Linked DNA regions of Canis lupus familiaris. The protein of the gene in region 1 interacts with the protein of each later gene in a biochemical or structural test. Links are inferred from orthologs where the notes say so. Each region holds a gene or a part of one and is shown on either strand. Other genes may lie near its edges.

Region 1 (2,921 bases):
CAGAAATAGTTTTATGGCTTAAAATCTCGTGTGTGTGTGTGTGTGTGTGTGTGTGTGTGTGTGTTTAAGCTGTTTTTCTCTCAACAGAAGCTTCATTTCTATTTCTGCAACAGGGAGAATGAACACATTTTATTACTTAAAATTTCAGTTGATTGTTTTAATGACCAAGTATCTATTGTTCAATATCCACCCCCCATGCTACATTCAAATCTGCACATTTCATGTGATATAGTATAATATAAGAAGTTACTTATCAGGCTACATAGTTAATGATTCTATGATTTCTATGTTTCCTAAAGCAAGCAAAGTGCCAAATCCTCGTGAATAACAAGAAACACTGATATGCTTTTAATGGAAGCTTTTTTCTTTTCTAGAAATTCAAAGTGTCTACAGCGTCGAAATGGATTAACAATGCACAGCCCAAAAGTAGCATGACATTAGCAATGTACAGAGCCTGGGCATTTTTTTTTTCACATCAAAACATCATAAAGTTGAATTTGTGCAACAGATATTCTCAACTCCTGCCTTATACTGAAGAAGCAGCTGTTGTCCAAGCACACAGTTCATGTTGTGTGAGGATGAAGAAGTCTCTGGTGCATGTTTTTAGTACTTCCTCTGTCCCCAGCTAGTATCTGCTAGACAAGTCACAAAGGCCACCCAGAGGATAGCAACAGATGATCTCTTTGAAGGTTTTCCTCAGCTCTTGGCTCCGGAGTGCATAAATGAGAGGGTCGATGATGGAGTTACACATGATCAGAATGAGGTACAAGTTAAAGTGAGACATGAAGCACACACAGTATGGATTCTGGGGACAAGAGATGTAGAATATCAAGTGGAGGAAGAATGGAGCCCAGCAGACGACGAAGACCCCAATGAGTATGGTCAAGGTAATGGCACCCTTCATGTTGGCCCCTTGGCGGATGGTGCCGGTGCCCGGGAGGACGGCGATTCTCTTGATGTGCAGTCTGGCCATGAGGAACATGTGGACGTAGAGAGAAGCCATGAGGGCCAGCATGGTGAAGAACATGGTGATGAGGCAGATGATGACAGCAGTACTGTCCGAGTAAATGATGAACAAGATGCCTGACACCGTGCAAGCCGCCCAGATGCAACTGATGATGATCCCAACCCGCCTCACCGTCATGATGTTATGGTACTGGAGGGCATAAAAGATAGTAAAGTACCTGTCCACTGCAATTGAGAGCAGGCTGCAAATCGAGGCGAGCAAGGAGCTACAGATCACCGAGTCAATGACATTATCAATATTCACCGTGAAACTCTGCGCGTCCGTATCCGTACTGTTCAACAGGGTGATGACGATGGTCTCTGACCCGTTGGAAACGCTCACCAGCATATCGGCCACAGCCAGGCTACAGATGAAAAAGTACATGGGTGAGTGCAGATTCTTGTTCTTGGCTATTGCCACGATCACCAGAATGTTCTCCAGCAAGCTTATGACCCCCAGAGTCACGAACACCTCCGGGGAGACGAAGAGTTGCTCGTAGCATCCCCCGTCGGGGTAGCCTTTGCCAAGGGACTCAGTGGCGTTGCCGTGCTGTCCGTAGGTGCTGCGGTTCCAGAAGTGGAGAGAAGTGTGCATTCCGTGCTGAAGGGTGGAGTTCATCCTGCAACAAGTGTATGCAGACCCCCTCGGGACTGATTCGGCCTCTCCAGCCAGGGAGCCCCGGTGATGTTCTCCCCCTCTCCGTGCGTCCCAAAGTTCTGAGGATCCAGCTGGCCTGCCAGGTGTTGAGTACCTGTCCCGTGCTCCAAAAGGCTGGCAGTGGAGCTCTTACTGTCTTCCAGGTACAGCTCCGATCACCTTCACTGTAACATCTTCGATTTCTGAAATGCTCATTCTTAGTTCAAAGAGTCTGCTCTTTGCTTTTTCTTTTTTTCTTTTTTTCTTTTTTCTTTTTCTTTTTTTTTTTGTCCTCACTCCCACCTTAACTTTAGTCTAGGGCATTCAGTGAGGTCTGTTGCAAGTAATTCTCCGAGTTGCCGCCGAGCCACCAGGAGCTGAATCTGCGTGCACATGTTCGCATCAGCTGCCTCCCCACGGTCTTAGTTCCCAACCCGAAGCATTGCTCTGAGTGTTAGTGGCTGCTGCTGATTTTATGGTGTGGGGAGGGGAAGAAAAAAAAATGTTCAGAGTGGCTCCTCCTCTGCTTCCTCCTGACCAATCCAAACGCACTGGAAGTCTGTGAGGCACGGCTGATATTCCAGATACAAATTGCAGGGCAACACGGATCCAGATGCAGAAGCTTGTGGAATTGGGGGAAGCAAGCAGGATGAGAGAGACTGGATTCTCCTTGCCAAGTTTTCAAGGAAAACAACTTGGTCCCTGGAGACTGTTCCTTGATAACACAACAAGCCAGGCTCCCCCAGCTTTATTTCTGCTTCAAAGAGAGACACTTGTGTTTCTCTGTGTGTGTGTGTGTGCGCGTGTGTGCCCACGCAGGCATTTGTGTGCTTATGTTCCTGAAATAGACACGCTGCCTTTTTGGTCAGGATATTGAATTTGTTTACTCTCAATTTGTTTGAATTAAGAATCCAGGAAATAATGCTTCAATTTCCAATACCTGAAAGACAGGGAGAATATCTGATAATACAGGTACACTGTGCTCCGGATGGGAGAACTGATGTAGGTAGCTACAGTTTATCCAAGGATTCTAGACGGGGTTCATTTTTTTGTTTGTTTGTTTGTTTTGTTTTCTTTTTTTGTGCACTAATAGCTGATAATTCTCCACTGCAGAGTTTCTGTTATCATGGCTGGGAAAGTTTTATTCTCATTCATGATATTTAGAAGCCATATGGTGATAGTATAAACTATATTTACTCTGCTCTCAAAAGGAAAAAGATCAATAATTGGGCAAAACTCAGTCTTTAAGCTTTATTGACATACAACTGATATAACAAAA
Region 2 (4,334 bases), on another chromosome or scaffold:
GAGAATGGAACTACCCGCCCCCCCCCATTGTGAACACCCACCAAAGACACTTTTGGAGAAGTCAGAAAGCACCTCCCAGCAGAAGCTGAAGTCAAGAGGTCAGGATGCAGTAAAGAAGGGAGCGGTGATGCAGCCCTTCGCCCCTGCGCCCCACACTTTCCCCAGCCTTCCACCTCTCCCATGGTCATTTCCCCCCTCACCCAGGTCAGCTTCTTTTGTGATTAGCTCACAACCAACCCACAATCATTTTACATTTCAGAAGAACTTCTCAACCAACTGCAGAAAGAAATCTAATTAGATGAGAAGAGTAATTCACATTAAGGTGTGGATGACTAATTTTCTTATCTGTCCTAATGGACATTTGCATTTGTAAATGTTTGCCTAAAAGAAATCTCCTATTCGTGGAGGGGAGGGGGGCAAATCTTTTTTATAGAGAAGGCTTTGGAAATGAAAGTTCTCCCTGGCTCTCATTGTCTAGTTCAGAAAGCCATTTCCTTTTCTTTGTCCCACCCCCACTCCTTCCCCCCAAAGCTAAGCCAGCTCTGGGCTCCCTTCTTGAATGATTGCCAGGCACAACCTGAGTGTCTTCAGAACAGCCATTAGGTGGCGCTGGCAGCCAGTCAGCTGGCTGAAGGGGCAACCAGGAGAGCATTTGATCAACCTTGATGTCCAGTCTTGTTTTTTTTTTTTAAGATTTTATTTATTTATTCATGAGAGACACAGAGAGAAAGGCAGAGACATAAGCAGAGGGAGAAGCAGACTCCCCGCAGGGAGCCCGATGTGGGACTCGATCCTTGGACCCAGGATCACACCCTGAGCCGAAGGCAGATGTTCCACCACTGAGCCACCCAGGTGCCCCTTGATGTCTAAGTCTTGACCAGGGGTAGGCTGCCCCCACTGTAGCATTTTGATGCTCCAGTTCAAAATTGGAGCCCAAACTTGGTGGGCAAAGCAATTTAAATTAAAGCTCTGATGGGGTGCCTGGGTGGTTCAGTCTGTTAAGCATCTGGCTCAGGTCATAATCTCAAGGTTCTGAGCAGGGATCCTGTTTCTCCCTCTGCCTCTCTCTGCCACTCCCCCGGCTTGTGCTCTGTGTGTGTGTCAAATAAATAAAATCTTAATAATAAAAAAAAAGCTCTGAGATTATACAAACATCTGGGTCAGAAAAATGTGAGATTTACAAGAGAGGCAGAAAAATGGTCATTACATATCACCGTGGGCAAGTGTAAAATAACATTAGTAGAGAAAAAGTAAAATCATACAGATCTGCCAGTCACTTCAATTATACTTCAATTCTCCTCAAGGCTGGCCATTCTGGGATGATTTCCATTTTCTTAAAACCTACCTCATGATTTCAGGCCTTCCTGAGAAGCCCCAGAGAGCATTTCTCCTCTCTCTACTGCACTGGCTGTGTCGTACAACATAATAACATTCACACTGCCCTCCCTCTCAGAGTTCCATTCTACTGCTAAAAAGTCAGTTTCCTGAAAGCAACTTGATTTCTTTTTGCTTATGTGTATTTTCTATTTTTCTATAATGAACAAATATTATCTTGTGTCATTTTTTACAAGCAATAAAGTAACGAAGAAATGTCAGATATTGTGCTTTTGTAGGTAGGGATAGTGTTATATATAATTTAATAATTGAAAGCCTTGGGAAAATAAATAGAAATTTATGATTTACTAATCTTGACATTAACTTTAAACAGAACTACTTTTATGAGAACTTCATATGTGTAGGCAAATTCTCTTTGAGCTAAACAAAATATTGTTTGTCAGTCTAAAACTGCACACTGGTCATGCCCTTCTGTAAAGATTAGAGGAGCAGAGGTGCAGAGTTTTCTCCTTTCACCATGACACACGTGCATCAAGTCCTAAAACAAAAGTGCCAAAGGAATATTAAGTCATTAAATAAGGTTTAATCTGTGCAAATGTTCACAAGTGACAAAATAAATGCACTTGTACTTTCCTTGGCTTCTTCCAGCCGTCTGTGAGAATCACCACCTTTCCATTTATACACGAAAAATTGGGGGGATCCAAATGCCCTGCAGACTCTTCCTCCTTCATTGGAAATCTCCATCAACTAAGCCTCCAACAGCTCAAAGGGTTGTTTCCACCCTGCAATCTAGGGTCTTCAGGATAGAGGTCCACTCTGCGGTCCTATTGAGGGCACCCACAGGGTGTTCAGAACCTTGGACAGTTCCCACACGGGGACACCTCTTTTTAACCCCAGTTGGGTCTTAGAGACCCGCATCTGCATCCAGACACCTCAGGTGCCCTAAAGTGGGCAGAGAAAGGAGGATTCAGGGGTCTGAATCCAAAGAAGTCTGGAATGCAGGGATTTTATTGTAACTTCTAGCCTTTGTTCTCTTGCTCTCATTTCCAACGTTAATTTGCTCTACAGCATATGGTATCTTTTAAGAAAAGAAAATCGAGAGGAAGAGGAACCAAAAGACAGGGCTTTACCGAGATCTCCCCCCAGAAGGCGGTAGGAGTCTCAGGGGTCCTAGCAGCCCGACTCCCCGGGAAAGACACGGCCGCCGGCTCCTGGAAGGGACCGCTTTCAGCGTCGCAGCCGCTCGCCCACCATCCCGAGGCTTCCCGCGCCGCATTCAGGACAGAAAGTTTTCAAGGAACTCAGGACCGCAGCGAGCCAAAGGCGCCTCAAGTCAGCGATCGGAGCCGGGCGAGATCATCCCGAGGCCCAGGGGCAGGGGGTTTCGGGGTAAGAGCGAGGTTCGGCGCCGCTGCGCCCTTACCTGTTGCAGAGGCTGCGCTCTGGGCGACTCCCGCTGCGCTGGGCGAGGATGCTCGGCGGCCTCCTCAGGTCACTTTTCTTCTTTCTCCTCCGCCGCCGCCTGGTCCGAGTCGCTCTCCTCGGTCCTTATATACCTGCGGGGCTCGCCCGGGTGGGCAACGGACGTGAACTTCCTGGCAGCGTAACAAGCAACTCCCCCGACCGTGAGAAGGGGGGCCATAGGGCTCAGGAGGGAGGTTTCCAGGTAGGGGCTAGAGAAAGGGCAGAAGTGCCCGGAAAGGGGGCCGGGTCTCTACCCCGCAGGCTGGAATTAACACTGTCCTGCTGAAGGGTGCACCTGGCAGCTATCAGGAGAGAACTTAATTAAGGATGGTGTTGGGTCTCCAGTTAGGACGAGCAGGTGGCTTAGCACCCCGGTGTGGGGTAGGCCTGGAGCGCTGGCTGAGGTCTTTGAGGAGAGGGTGAAGTTACTTGTGTGCGTGCTTGGTCTGGCATCTGCCTCGTTCACACTTGGAGGTAAATATTCCACAAAGGGGAGTGTGTCTGTAATGCCTCAGATTTCCCCATCCTTTGGAAACTGTGGTGAAGATGTCATGGGGAATCACAATCCCTCTGCCTCAGGTTAGCAGAGTAGGTTGGTGGGAACCAGGGAGGTAGGGAGGGGAGCAGAAAAGGTCAGGGGTCACTCACCTGAGGCCCAGGGAAGGTTGCCTTCTTGGAGGTGTGAAGGCAAGTTGCACTGCCGCTCCTGGGGCCTAGGCCAGAGCAGGCTCCTTCCTGTGCTCCAGACCCCAAGGAAAAGGTGCTGTTAACCTTCTACTACTAATGGGGAGGGGAATGGGGTGCTCTATGGAGAACAGCTGAAGTACTTTCCCTATGGTCTACCTTAACCTGGAGTAAAGAAGAAACAAATTGTGAGGGGCGGGGGTGGGAGGGAGTGTTAGAACAAAACTGAACTTCAGATCAAGGTGCTTGTTTTATTTATTTATTTGTTTGTTTGTTTGTTTATTTATTTATGCGCTCATTTTAGTCTGCCAATTGCAGCTTTCTTTATTCCCAGTCAGATGTTCTTTCGGACTCCAACACTCCTGTGAGAATTCTTGGTTGGTGACATTGGCTTTATAGTCCACAATCCTTTCCTTTTGGGATACAGGAGAAATCTAAACTCCTAAACAGTAAACAAGATTGTTTATCACTTGACCTTGCCCTGAGTCTCAAGGGTCACTTCCCACCTGTCCATCTTACATCCTGGCACTTCAACCATCCACAACATTCCTTTTTCCTTTTTTTTTTTAAGTTCTATTTATTTTATTTATTCATGAGAGACACAGAGAGAGTGGCAGAGACACAGGCAGAGGGAGAAGCAAGCTCCCTGCAGGGAGCCCGATGCAGGACTCCATCCCAGGACCCCAGGATTATGACCTGAGCCAAAGGCAGACGCTCAACCACTGAGCCACCCAGGTCCCCCTCCAATATTATTTCCTTAAGAGACTTTTTCCTTAGTCAGATACTTTATTGCTTTTTCCCCAGTCTGATGTTTTACATCTTCTTGAGAGATTTCTTATAATGACATTTTC

The links.
Region 2: the proteins of MC4R (region 1) and POMC form a complex in vitro, tested with the Homo sapiens proteins (2 studies listed by BioGRID). The link is inferred for Canis lupus familiaris from reciprocal best matches to the Homo sapiens genes MC4R and POMC.

What each region holds. Positions count from the first base shown.
Region 1 is NC_049222.1:16,213,124-16,216,044, reverse strand, and holds MC4R (melanocortin receptor 4), read right to left. Parts: upstream 1,625-2,921; coding exon 626-1,624; downstream 1-625.
Region 2 is NC_049238.1:19,500,713-19,505,046, forward strand, and holds the start of POMC (pro-opiomelanocortin), read right to left. Parts: upstream 2,918-4,334; 5' UTR 2,759-2,917; intron 1-2,758.